2 linked regions of the Rhinolophus ferrumequinum genome follow. The protein of the gene in region 2 interacts with the protein of the main gene of each other region in a pairwise test. Links are inferred from orthologs where the notes say so. Each region holds a gene or a part of one and is shown on either strand. Other genes may lie near its edges.

Region 1 (7,154 bases), on a different chromosome or scaffold from region 2:
CCCAAACCCAATAATTGAACCTGAATTTGGACACGTTTTGCTTTAGGAATTTTCCCTAAACACACACTCCTTTTGCGTTCTGCCCCCTCCCCATCCTCCCCCCTTCAGTTTCCAGCACCTAAAACTATAGGAAATCGAAGCTATCAAAGACCCTACAGTCTGGTCCTCAGCTTCAAGAGTAGTAATTCGAGAATATCCTCATAAAAAGTCCAAATTCCCGACCGTTTCATAGGCCCATAAACGCTTCTCTCTCTTGTTTTTTATTTTTATAGCGAGGTCTCTCTCCTCCCCACTTCCCTCCTCCTTTGCCCCCTCCCATCCTCCCAGCCCACAACCAAGTCCTGAAATTTCAGCAGTTCTGCTTCCTGACCGTGAGAGTACCTAAGCCCGTCACTACCCTCTCCAGTGCCTGTCTCCGCTGTATGAGTTCAACCCTGCTGAGGCGAATTCTCAGGGTGATGCTGGGCTGGGGAAAAGCCTTTTTCCTCTCCCTAGAGAGCTGCTGGCCTTGGGAACAGGCCCCCCTATATCTTAGCTTCCCTGTTTGGCTTCCAGTGCCCCCCTCCTGCCAGCCCCAGGACAGGCTCTGCAGGAGTCAAGCCTCCAATTTCAGGTTTATGGGAGTAGCTGAGGGCAAGGAGGGAAGGCTCAGAGAGGTATAATTAGGCCCTGGCCCCTTATGGGGCTGGAGGAAAGGATTTCCTGGAGCCCCCTCCTGGGACTCCCCCAGACACTTCCTCACACCCAGGGGGCTGCGCCCCCTCCCCTGCTGTTTCCCTTCTTTCTCCTTTCTCTGGCCCTGCAGCTCCCACCTGCCCCCCCCAACTACCCCTGCTCTTCTCTGCAACACTTAGAAGGCTCTCAGCTCCCTGATTGGAGTGTGTGTGTGTGTGTGTGTGTGTGTGTGTAGTTCTCTAATCTGGGGAGATGTCTCTCCCCATTCCTCAGCCCTGAACCTCCATTCTCAACCCTCTCGCCTGCAGACCCTCAAAAAAGGGCTTTCAAGTTTAAAGAGACTGGGACCCCACTTCTCTCCCCCAACTCTGGAGGTCCTGATCTCTCCAAGTTCCTAGGCTGTGAAATCCCCCAGACCCTTCACTCAGTGCTCCTGGGAAAGAAGTCCATGGACCTCCTGTCTTATGAATCTCTAGTGGGGTGAGGAGCCCCATGCTAGCTGGGAGGTAGTGGGGATTTTTCTCCCTGGGGTATCTCCTCTCTGCCCCCAGTGTCCTCCTCATCTCTACTCCATCCCACCTCAAACCATAAAATGAACCTCGCCCCCACCCCAATCCCTGGCCCTGTCTGCATTTCTGCATTTCTTCGAAAGTAGCGACTGAGCCAAAAGCCTGGGCTGGGGATGTGGGGGCGGGGGTCTCTTATCAAAGCCAGCTCCTGGGAGAGGAGCCCCTTCAGCCCTCTCCCAACCTGGCTCCTTGGGCCCCCTTCTCAGACCTTCCTGCCCCTAAAAGCTCCCCAAGGTAATTCGCTTTTATTGAGTCCTCGCCCCCTCGCCCTCGCCCCTCTCCCGCGCTCCCTGCGCCGCTCCGAGGGGCTGTAATCTGGCTCCCCCCGCCTGGCCTCCCCTCCCCTCCCGCGCTGGTTGTAAAGGAAAATTGCTCCCAACTTACTGGGGTCCAGGTCGGCCTTCTCCTCTTTGTGCTTGCTGCCGGCGAGGGCGTCCGCCTCGGGCGAGGGCAGGGTCTGCGGGGCGCGGTCGCGCAGCTCCCCGGGCGAGCCGTACATGTAGTCCGGGTAGCTGCGGCCGTCTCCCGGGCCGCAGTCGGCGCGGCGCCCGGGGTAGGCGTCCGGCTTGAGGGCGTAGTGACGACCCCCGGCCGGGAAGCTGGGGAAGGAGACGGCGCCGGACAGCGGCTCGAGCCAAGTCCGCATGTAGCGCGTGTCGGCGCCGAGGTGGGGCTGGGGGCCGTACGGGTGGTACACCACGGACGACTGCGAGGGCACGGGTGCCCACGACGTGCTGAACACGGCCGGCTTGGGCGCGAAGCTACAGGACGGAAAATCGCTACAGTCCGGCACCAAGCCGCTGGGTCTGGCGGCGGCGGGGTGAGCCCCGGTGGCCGGAAACCTGGACGCTAGGAGGTCTTCATTGTCGTGAGAGATGAGCGAGTCCACGTAATAGTTACTGATGGGCCCCGTCGCCGACATCGTAACGGGGTTTTACATACATAAGATTATTGTATGAACTGTATATGTACTTTTTATCTGCTCACAGAACAATCAAGGCAGGTAATTATTTTTCCAGCCTTTTCCCCGCAGCTCATTGGCTCCCCGGCCCCCACGTGATCGTATTTACCCAAAAATACGGCGCGGATCAATGCGCAGGGGCTTTTTTTTTTTTCTTCCTTTCCACCCCCCCTTCTCCCACCCCCTTCTCTGCTGATCCCCGCGACCTGCGTTTTCCTGGGGGTCCAGAACTCTGGACCCAAGGCATCGGCCACCCCCTCAAGACAACTCGTATCTCATCAGAGAACCCCCTTGCCCCTGTCCACCATAAGCAGATGGACTCCCGCCCCCAACCCCAGGAGGATTTCTTAATGGGGTGAAAATGCCAGTCCCCGAAGCCAGGGTTCCCGGACCCCCAGGGCTGAGCTGGGCGCGGGAGCCCCGCAGGGGTGCAGAGGCCGCCGAGGTAGGTGGAGGAACTATTTCTTGACGTAATCCGTCTCTGTCGGCCCCAACGCTCCCGCAGTCTCTGCGCGAGCCGAGATCAGCGATTGTCAGTTCGGAACGTGGCTTTTAAAAATGCGTTTTTAAATAGTGTGTATGTATGTATTTCTTTCCGGAGCAGCAGCAGCAGTGAGGGAGGGAGAGTGGGAGGGGACTGGGGAAGCTGTGAGGTGGAGGGAGGGAATGAGGAAAAGGGGAGAGTCCTTCTGCCACTGGCCAATTCAGCCCCCCAAATCTGGGGTAGGAGAAGCTTAGGGAAGGTGGTCCGCGGGTGGGAGGGGTAGGACCTCTGGACCTCACACACCTTTATCATCAGAAGTCTTCTCTTTGCTTTGGCACAGATAGTCAAGCGTCTTTATTTTAAATTTATTGTCTATCTATCTTTCTTTGCCAGCTTGAAGAAGTGGAGGAGATATCTACACAACTTAAGTGGGGCACCCCATCCCATCTTCCTGCTCACCCTCTTTTGGCCCCAACTCCATCTCTGCGACACTGCCCCCCCAAAAAAGAAGTCACCCCTGGGTTCAGTCTGCAGAGAGCCAGGGTGAAAGCGGGCAAGGCAAGAGAGCGACCTCGGTCGTGGGCAAGTAGCTTGTTTTTACGTCCTTCAATAAAATTTTTATGAGGATCATTTGATTGTTCATAAATGTGTCTTTCATTAAATAAAATTGTAGGCTGTTTTTGGAACGGGGAAAAAAGCAACTGAGGGATGGGAGAAAGCAGTTTCTTTGGGGTCGGATACAAGAATTCTGGAGCAGCAGTGTGATTGTAGGGAAGATCAGACAATTTGGATTCCTCCCCCAATAAGTTGGTTGCTACCCTCCTTCTTGAATTTGGGGTTCTGTGCCCAGCCCTCTGCTTTCCCTCAGACTGTCCCATGGTGGTTTAGGAAAGGTGAGCTTTAGGCAAGCAGGAAATTCTCAGTGTGGGTGCAAGAGAGGGGGCAGGGAGGTTGGCTGGAAGGGTGAAGGGGAGGGCAGGTGATGTCCCTAGAGGCAGATGCATCCTAGGCATAGCAGAGTGAGTTTGAAGGAGGGGTGCAATTTCAGGGTCAGAAAGGAAGAATCCCAGTTTGCACTAGAGGAAACAAGCAGGAGCTGAGACTGAGACAGGCTCTGAGGCAGCAGGGAAGGATGAGGCTTCCCAGACCCGAGATGCCTGCCCTTTTTTCCCACTCCTGTCCCCAGAAGGGGACCAAACGACAAGGGTAGGAACCCAGGCTGGTTTTCTCCTGCACCCATGTGGACCTATCTCTTCAGGGGTGGAGAAGGGCTAGAGAGAGGTGTCCCAGAGAGTGTAGTATGTGTGTGTGAGGGTGGAAAGTTGAGGGGGGGAAGGGTAGATCTGAAGCCCGCAGCACTGACCCCAGCTTTCCAGGACCCCTCCCCAGTCCCTGCTCCTCCCCCTCTCTAGTTCTTTCCTTTTCGGTCAAGCGGGGCTGGGATTTCGACATACTGAGGGATGTGAGAAGTGCCTGGCTGAGGAAAGGAGACGCGGGGCCTCAGCCTCCTCACCCTCGGCTCCGATTATCTTCCCTTCTCCTAGACTGGACTGGTCTGTAAAATCCAAATTACAGCAAGAAACAGAATTTCTCTTTGGCCTTGATGGAGTCGGGTTAGCTGTCAATCAAAAATTCTCCCTCACTAGTTCAAGGAAAAGACAGGAGGTTCCCGTTCCCCTGCCGAGGCTTTCTCCAAATCCCCAGCACCTTCAGCACCGCTGGCTGGGGACCCTGCCCAGCTCTTTGACAGGCCTGGGGCAGACTGCAACCAAGAGGACATCAGGGGACAGAGCCTGAGAGAGACTGAGCCCGAGACAGCCTGAGATAGAACAACTGAAACACGGCGCCAGGCCCATAGAGGGAAGAAAGGAAGGAAAGAAGGAAGGAAGGAAGGAAGGAAGGAAGGAAGGAAGGAAGGAAGGAAGGAAGGAAGGAAGGGAGGGAGGAAAGAAATGGAGGATTAGGATAAAAAGGAGAGGGGAGAGTTAAAGAAAAGAGGGGAGGCAAGATGAAAAGAGATAGGAGAGCAGGGGAAGGAAAGCATGCAGAGAGGAGCTGGAGGAAGGGCGGTGATAGGCAGGCAGGATGGGGTAGGGTGAGAGCTGGCGGAGCAGCCGTGGCATTGTGCAGTCCGCTGCTTGCTGGGCCTTTGCCGGGGACCGGCTCAGGCGCAGCGGCCACTTCTGTCCGGACACAAAGGAGGAAGAGGCCTCCTCTCTTGCCCCTCCCGGGCAACCTGCTCCTGTGGGTACACTAGGCCTCAGGGATGTAGAACCCCATCTCAGCCCAGGCAGCCACCCAGCAGCTTGGGACTGAGCCGCGCTCTAGTCAAAGAGCAAAGAAGACATGACTGAAGGAGAAGGTTTTATGTCCTGCTCCACTTTTACGTCTTCACCAGGCAACAGGGCCCATCTGCCCCAGTCATAGTTTTCCTAGAAGAAAGATACCCCTTAAAGACCCTCTTCTATGGGCCTCTACTATTTGGGAGAGCTCCTCAGACACAGTGACTGTAAAGAGATGCCCCTTTCTCTCCTTTGGTCACTGCCTTCTTTTCAACTCTTGAGCAGCCTGCCCACTCGGTCTGCCCACCCAGCAGAGGCAACAGGAGCAGGGCAGCCAGCATCACTCAGCCCACACTCCCTGCTGCCATCAAATTCTCCGTGAAACTGAGGGGAGATTGTCACCTTCGTTTCAGAGGGTGAACTCAGACCCTCCCCACCCCAGCACAGGCACAGCTGTGGATCAGGAGGTAGGCCTCGCCCACAATCCCCTCCCCACCCATGCCCCATTTTGCCAAGGCCTTGCTGAGAGAGGCAGCCTTGGGGAGGGGGGCTAGAAGAGGCTGGGAGCCCCTGAGTTCAGCAGGCCAAGGTTCCTGGGGTTCCACAACTACATGTGGCTTGTACCCCCTTCTCTGCATGTGGAGGTGGGGTAACAGGTCAGGACTCTGCAGCAGACCTTCAGGCTCCCCCAGATCCAGACCTGTAGGTATGGGGGCGCACGGATGTGGACGCACAGGGATGTGGAGGCACCAAGGTACACCTTGTCTTCCCAGGTTCAGTTACTCCTGCTGACTCTCCTGCCAGATTCCAAGACTCCCTCTCAGCCCCACCACTGCCTTCAATTTTCCTCAGCGAGGATTGGGAAAACCGGAGAGACTAGAGGCCACTGGGAGTCCCTGTTAGGGAGGGGGGAGCCCCAGTTTTAGCTAGCCGCTCTGCATTTACTCTGGTTTTTAGAACTCCCCTCCACCCCCAAAAGATTTCACTGGGCACAGGAGAGCCCCCTAAAGGAGAGGAACACCCTTACTCCATCACCTCAAACCTGGGCAGCTGTGACCATAACCAAGCTAGCACCACCATGGGAAGGACAGACAGAAAGACTGACAGGTTACAGTCATCCCCTCCCCTTGCCCCGCGCCTCCTTTTTAGTGATTTAAATTCCCTTCGGTTCAATCCACACCGTCAAGTTCGGATTAAATTTAAAACAGGCTTTCCCGGGTGCCCCCAGTGGGCCATCCCAGCCGCCGCAGGCAGGGAGCCCGCTCCGGGGCTCGTCTGCACCCGCCCGCGCGGAGGAGGCCGTGCTCCATTTGCTTTCATTTTCCTTCTCCCCCTGAAATGGGCTCATTTCACCCCTCCGCTGCCCTCTCCCCCTCCCCGCCCCCTCCCCGGTTCCCCTCTACTTTCCCCCCTTCTCTCTCCTGATCCCTCTTTGTTGGGAAAAACACACCCACACACAACTCCTCCTTGCTAAGGCCTGCGCTGGAAGCAGAAACTGAATTCTCCTGGCCTGCCGCGAGGAGACCCGCGTCCTGCCCCCACCCCAGGTGGGTATCCGGGATCCCTATACACCAGGAGTCAGGCCCCTAAGCCCAGCAGGAGTGAAACCCCTAGGGCCTGTGAACGTGGCCCTCTCAACGCCACGGCCTGCATTCCCGCCGGCCCCCTGCCCTGCCGCCCGGCAGCAAACGGGGCTATTTCCGGCTCCCCCAACCGGTCTTGTTTCCCAGCCTGGGGAGTGGCTGGAGGGGGAGGGCCCCAGAGCTAGGGGTGCTCTTTGCCTGGAGCCCCCATGGCCCTGGGCGCCTTATTACCTGATCTTTGTGTGTTGTGTGTGTCGCAAGGAAATTTGCAGTGACTTTGGAGCCCAGACTGAGGAAGCAGAGGTGGCGAAAGGAGAGACAATAAGGTTCCGAAGTACAATTAAGGGACCAGAGCCGCTAGTCTCTCCCCCGCCCTCCTTGCGCGACTGGAAGCTGTCTGGCCTCCAACCTCAGGGCAACCCGCGAACCTGGAGCGGGAACTCAGCCCATGGCGGAGGAAATCAGAGGATCAGTCTTCCAGGAGGCTGGAGGCAAGCTACCTTCCAACTTGGGGGCGCAGCAACCAGCCCCGCTGAGTTGCATAGAAGCCAATGAATGAAAGTGCACATTCCGACGAATTTTCTCGATTTTTTTTAGCCT
Region 2 (7,154 bases):
TATCAAGAAAACCAGCATAAACCAAGGGTTCTTAGTTCCAAATGAACCAAGACAAATGGACACCCTACTAAGGTCAGTGTAAAGACTGTGATTTTTACTCCAAATGAGATGGGAATTTATTGTGGATTTCTGACCAGAAAAATGATATGATCTAAGTTTTACAGGATCACCCTGTCTGCTATTTTGAGAATAAATTAAAGGGGAGCACGGGTAGCAGACCAGTTAGGGGCTTATGGCTACAATCCAGCAGGGAGAACCAAGACAATGGCTTGCTAAGTAGAGAGATAAATGTGCCTCCTTAAAACTCTATCTGTGTAGTTGGAGGGAAGAACATTAAAGGGGGAATCTTCCCCTGGGTTCAAATTTCAGGTCTGTATTGCTGGTGATTTCATGTACTAGTGCATAAGGAAGACTCAGAATATTATAGTTCAAAAACACCAGATATGAAGAGCATCTCCTTAATTCCTCTTAAACTAATTTCATTCTTAGCAAGCAACCTTCTAATTATAAAGTAGACTTATCCATAGGAATGGGATACATATATCAGCAAATAACTAGCATCTGTTCTACTTGGTGGTTTTTAACTCTAACCAGAAATTAATAAGTTGGATTTCTGGTGTTTTCATACATCCTCTTTTCTGAGTTTCGTTTGTTTGTGTTGGTTTCCTAGAGCTTCCTCATCTCTGGGTATACTAATAATTGAATTTCTTAATATATTAAGCAGCAAAGAAGACTTGCAAAGTGGTGACCCTAACACGTTACCCCGAAAAGACTTGTCTGAGCTGCCACCTGGCCTTGCCCAGGTGATCTCTGGCCTTATTGACAGTAATATCAGAATATCCCATGTGAATTAGGGAATACTCTATTACTATGCCCTCATTAGGAAAAAAAAATCGTTCTCAAAGGCTTATTTTTCTAGGATGATTTTCTTAAGTCTCCTCCCCTTTCCAAAATAACCACCTTTAAGTGATCACTGCGGGATTTTTGTTGTGGTTCTTTCTTGGATATATGATTGTCCTTTCACATCATTTTTTGTGAGCTACAATTCATTGTCATAAATGCATGCAAACATCTATGTTAAAAGCACTCCAGTAGATCAAAAGTTACCGGCAAAGGGCTTGTGTCATCCTGAATGGAAAGGGTCTCAGCACAGTTACTCTCCTTTCTGGAACACTGACCCACGGGGAGAGGAGCTGGGCTGGAGTATTCACTGCTGTCCTGGAGGGTGGAGCTTTCCAGTTCCTCCAATAAAGCATCTATATCACAAGACACAAAAGAATCATGATATAGAATGTGTAAGTCTTCTGGAATAATTTTCCCCTTAAATAGCCCCATTGTACCTCCATTCATCTCCCTCTTCTCTTGCAGAAAGGCTATTTTCAAACATCTTCCCTTACTCAAATGCTGTGACCTGTTTCTTATTTCCTAAGGTTTCATATGCTCACTTGATAATTTGACTTCTTTTATTGCAAGATAATAATTTTTTTAATTAAAGTTTATTGGGGTGACAATTATTAGTCAAGTTACATAGATTTCAGCTGTACAATTCTGTAGTACATCATCTATAAATCCCATTGTGTGTTCACCACCCAGAGTCAGTTTTCCTTCCATCACCATATGTTTGATCCCCTTTACCCTCATCTACCACTCCCCTTCCTTCTTACCTTCTGGTAACCACTAAACTATCGTCTGCGTCTATGAGTTTTTGTACAACCGAAATGTCCTTCGATAGATGAATGGATAAAGAAGTTGTGGTATATATACACAATGGAATACTATTCGGCGGTAAGAAAAGATGAAATAGGACCATTTGTGACAACATGGATGGATCTTGAGATTATAATGCTAAGTGAAATAAGTCAGACGGAAAAAGTAGAGAACCATAGGATTTCACTGATATGCAGTATATAAGCTGAAAACAACAAAAGATATTAATTTTTATCATTCATTTGGGGGTGGATTACCCATAAAAATCCCCAATGAGGAAAAAAGTAAATCTTACATATTTTTTCTTTCAGAAAAATATAGGCAATTATATTACAGTTTTTCCAGGATAGTAACAATATATTCCAGGATAGTAACATTTATTCTTAAGCCTGATGATTTTTTTTCTTATATTCCAAGCACATAACAAAATTATCAAAGCAAAGATGAGTGGTCTGTCTTTTAGGGTGTGGGGAGAAAGGGAGATGGAGAAAAAACAGATGTTACAAAATTAAGCAAGATGTTGCAATCCAAATTGTTGAGATTGCTTCTCCTGTATCTTCTTGAGAAAAACCAATGGACTTTACAAGTATTACATTATTACCTTTCTGTTATGGTGAAATTAATAATAACTAGTAAAATTAACACATCAGGCACTAGGTCAGGAATTTATATATTTAATTTACTCATCCTAAGTCTTTGAGGCAGGTGATATTATTATCCTTATTTTGTAGATCGAGAAAGAGAGGTCACACGGCTGTTGAATGCAGAAACTGGCTATCTGGCTCCCAGGCCCTGCATTAACTTCAAGTCAGAAATTCCAGTCCCCACTCTCACGTAGAGTAGAAGAGTAGATGGTTGCCCTTAGAAGCACCTGCTAGTCGAAGTTACTGGAACTCTCCCATCTGGGTCATGAGTTAACAGGCCTTTCTCTTCCTGTTTCTTGAGTGCACATATCCCCAACAGCCCAAGATTATCTTGCCTTTTGCCAGATTCCGTAATTTGAAAATGACTAATTTCAGTATGACAAATAACAGGATGACTGGTTGGGGGGGAATACTAGCCTGAAATCTCTACAATCCTTCTCTGTAGCCCTTCATCTGTAGAAATCAAATAATTATCAGTATTAATGTGAAAGGAGTAAGGTGAGGTCTCTTGGAGGTTTCAGTGGGTTGTAATGATCTCATTTAGAGCAGAGTCTGCTCCTGGTTTCCCCTTATCTAGCATGCCCTTGTAATGAAGCAGAGAAGAAATATCGGCCTGTCCTCCACACTGTTTCTCCACAGCAGGAAGACAGACTCACCCTAAGTGGGCTGATGACAATTTGAAAAAGTAGTTGAGGTTTAGTCATCTGAATCAGCTACAGGAAATGTGTGACCTTCCAGGCTGCTTGGTACTTTCTACATTTCTGACCAGATTTCTCTACCATTCATCCTGCTCAGAAAACGCGAAACTGTGTAAATATCTATCTATCTATCTATCTATCTATCTATCTATCTATCTATCTATCTATCTTATTCTGTCGTCTGAAGTACCTGAGCCAACACACTTCTAAAATGAGAATACCTTGTAGCTTACTCTGTTGTGTCAGGTGGTCCTGACAGTGATGCTTAACTCTCCTTAGTTTTCTAAGAGAGTGATGTTTGCTTTCCTTAGTTTTCTCATTTGAGGAAAAAAAAAAAAAAAGTGGACCATACCCATTTTAGAGGCTTGCGTCAGATACTAACTTGATTAACATATGTAAAAATGTCTAATTTTAGCTTAAGTCACTGAATAAGTATTAGTTCCTTTTTGAATTACCTACATGAAAGCCATTAGGAATCCCTAAAATAAAAAGCAGAGCTGGACTCTAGTAGATCTCAGGTAGAAATGTGCAATTCCCCAGCCCTCACACAGGATAAGAATTTGAATTCTCCCCAGAGTCCAAAATATATTCTACCCCAAGTATCAAAACAGACTTTACCTCCGAAACAGTTCAATACGTATTTATCAAACACCACCTTTTCCTCTTTCTTCTTGTAATTTGCCTTCCTTCCTATATTCCTTCAGCTCTCAAATTATACTCAAAACAATTTTTTAAAAAGACAATATGCTAGATACGCTTTTTTGTCATTGTTATTTACACTTTTGATATACCTCAAATATACCCAAACCGAGGACACTGTGGAATTAATACAGCTTGGAAATTGGGTTAGTGACTCAGTGTTAGCATGGTAGCCAGCAACAAAAGTTGGCAAAGGATATGGAACAAGTCCTAAAAATGACAAACCTTTCATTACTCCAAATTTTGAAATCAGGGATCTCTCTCGAGCAATGTGGCCAATAGTTTCACTGCTAGTTTTAATTGCTTTGGAATGGAAAGTGGTGTCATATTTGCAGGCCATAGTAATCTGTTCTTTCAGAGTTCCTCTGAATAAATAGCTTAGCAACAAAATCACTGGAGTGCTGTCTTCTTGATTTAATACTAGATCTTGAAGCAAATGAAACCACCCTGGCCTTCCTCCAACCTTTGTGAATCCCTCATTCTTGTACTATGTCTTCTCCTCATAACACCCTTTTCTTTCTTTTTTCCCTCAAATCATCTCTGCAGTTGTCAACTGTGGATCACCCTACAATCTCCACTAGCCCCCAAAGAGCAAATGCTCATAATAAAATGACAACTTCAATTACAATTCAATCCAAAAGTATTTGTAACGGAGTTTACTCTGTGGTTAGCACCAAACTCTCCGTCTTTTGTGCCACTGAAAACAGTGAACCCGTATTTTCCCCAAACAATAGTAGTTCCTTATGCTTCTTTCTTGTTTGGGCTGAGGTCAGGAGAGAAGTGAAAATGAAATCTTCCGGCACTACCCTCCATCTAGCTATTAGTACACCCCACCACACATGGAGATGGTAGCCAAGTCTTTATTCTCTCAGAGTTTCTCCTCCAAGAAGCTCCTCACTCACCCAACTCTTCCATTGTCACACACCAAAGATGCTCTGGTCCCACAGGTTGTGAGGAACTGCTTTGGCATGTGCTGAAGAAGAGGACCGCAAAGGAACTGAACGAGACAGTGTGAAGCAGCCTCTATAACCATTTTTGGTTCCTGTATTTGCTTAGCACTTCCTCTCTTTTGATTTGGTGAGGTTTTTTTTTTTTCTTTTTTGTAGGTCAAAGTTTTAAAAATGAGACTGACATAGAAAGACGGGTACTAAAATTGGAGTTCTGGTGGTGCATTGGCCAGGGTGATGAAGATTCAAAATTAATTTTGAAAAATTTGAGCACTGACTATGTGCCAGAATTTATTTTGAATTCATGGAAATGGCAGACTTACACTTGTGTTTTTTCCTACTGTGGGTATCCCACTGTGACTGTACATCAGGGAGTCTGCTGTGTTTTTTTTTCTGTGACGCTGGGGGATCATGGAAGCATAGTCTCCTTCATAAGATTTCCATCAGAGTTAACTAGCACCCAATTCATTTTGCTGTCTTTATTTACTTATTCAGAAATTATGTTTACCTGATTTCTTGAATAGATTGTAAATCCATTAAATGTGGCAGAGACATATTCACATTTGAATTCTCCAGGCCTGGTTTATTTCAGTGGTCCAAAAGGCAAATAACTATAGGGGTCATAAAGAATGAAACTGGAAGATTTAGGACACCAGGTGCTAAGCTGCTGACATCCCAATTAAGCATAATTCCTGCCTAGCTACATTGCTTTATAGCAGTTTTCTGAAAAGTGATGCTGGGGTTAACTTTCACCTTTATTTAAACCACTTATTTTTACTCACCTTGAATGAAATAAAACATTTTCGAAGGCCTACTATGGGAAGGCAGTATGTAAAGAACTATAATTATGGCCCCATGAAATAGATATCCCCATTTTTACCAGTGGTGAAATAGATTCAAGGAGCAGTAACTTGCTAAATAGAATTAATAGGTAGCTTTGCTACTACTAAATCCACATTTAACTTCAAAGCCTGTGAACTTTACAACACAATCGTCTTTCTTTTTTTAGGTGATCTAAAGGAATCCACTCATTCTCTATTCCCTAGTGACTCCTAAGATATTATTTACTGTGGCCAAGACATGGAAAAAAACAAAGTGTCCTTCAATAAATGATTGGATAAAGAAGATGTGGTACATATACACAATGGAATACTATTCTGCCATAAGAAAAGATGAAATACTGCCATTTTCCACAACATGGATGGATCTTGAGATTATGCTAAGCGAAATAAGTCAGAAAAAATCGAGAACCATATGACTTCACTCATATGTGGTATATAAAACTGAAAGCAACAAAGGAATAAACAAACAAACAAAAATTCATAGACACAGACAACAGTTCAGTGGTTACCAGAGGGTGAAGGGGGTCAAATATATGGTGATGGAAGAAGAACTGATTTGGGGTGAACACACAATGTAATATATAAATGATGTATTATACAGATGTACCTTTGAAACCTATGTAATTTTACTAACCATTGTCACCCCAATAAATGTAATAAAAAGACTTTAATGGAGATTCCCACTCTGCATTACTTTGAGCAGCCATTGGATGTCAGTGCTGTTCCAAAAGTCTGCTCACTGCAAACATGAGTTTGAAAAAATTCCTATCCACACTGCGCCAGTTTTTACAATTGAAATGCCATTAGCCCCATGAAAGTGCAAAAACACTCAATAGAAAATAGAAAACATTTGCCTAATCTGAAGTGGTAACTTAGCCAAGACACTGGAAGGAAAAATGCACTTCAGTACTTGGCTTGCAAATATTGGACTGTGTCTGCAGTTTAACTGAATGATTAATGTGAAATTCAGAATTGGATCCCCAGATCTTGTTTCCATCCGCTTTCTTGAAGGCATTTTACCTCCGGATACTTTATTTTCCAGGGGTAAGAAACTGGTTCTGCGAATCACTCCTTGATTATAATGGATGAAAGGAAGAAAGGAAAGAATGTGAGAGGCCCACTGCCATCACCAAATGCCAACTTGTAAATAAGCAAATGGAAACTCCCGTTTAACGCTTTAGGACGATTTAGTTGCACACGCTAGTGGACGTAAGAGAAATTCTGACAAAGCTGCTAATCTGGCCTTGCTTCCTGTGCAGCAGAAACATTTAAAAACCGTAGAACCAGGTGGCTTCTGAGCTGGGAGCGTGAGGGAGGGGAGGTGAGGGAGGGGAGGGAGGGGAGGGAGGGGCGGGGAGGGAGGCGTTCAGTTTTCTCCGGGTTGGTGACTCCGGTCATACTAACAACTTCCCTTCAGCCCAGGGACCACAGCCAACTTAAGCAGCCAACGCCAGCTCCGTGGTCTCGACAATGTCTGGTAGAAACGCAACTCCACAATTCTTTCCGCAAACTTTTATTAAGAATCAAATGTGGTGGGAATTTTGCTAGGGCCCCCAGGACTCGACGGAACCATTTTGTCCCTGACCTCCAGGGGCTTACAGGTTAGTAGGTCAGACA

Evidence for each region.
Region 1: the proteins of LPXN (region 2) and HOXC9 interact in binary tests that used the Homo sapiens proteins (3 or more experiments, as listed by UniProt). The two-hybrid records come from large-scale screens. The link is inferred for Rhinolophus ferrumequinum from reciprocal best matches to the Homo sapiens genes LPXN and HOXC9.

The regions. Positions count from the first base shown.
Region 1 is NC_046293.1:53,784,509-53,791,662, reverse strand, and holds the start of HOXC9 (homeobox protein Hox-C9), read right to left. Parts: upstream 3,810-7,154; 5' UTR 3,799-3,809; intron 2,205-3,798; 5' UTR 2,167-2,204; coding exon 1,629-2,166; intron 1-1,628. UniProt on the Homo sapiens protein: Sequence-specific transcription factor which is part of a developmental regulatory system that provides cells with specific positional identities on the anterior-posterior axis.
Region 2 is NC_046294.1:10,984,365-10,991,518, reverse strand, and holds the start of LPXN (leupaxin), read right to left. Parts: upstream 4,790-7,154; 5' UTR 4,664-4,789; coding exon 4,651-4,663; intron 1,257-4,650; coding exon 1,108-1,256; intron 1-1,107. UniProt on the Homo sapiens protein: Transcriptional coactivator for androgen receptor (AR) and serum response factor (SRF). Contributes to the regulation of cell adhesion, spreading and cell migration and acts as a negative regulator in integrin-mediated cell adhesion events.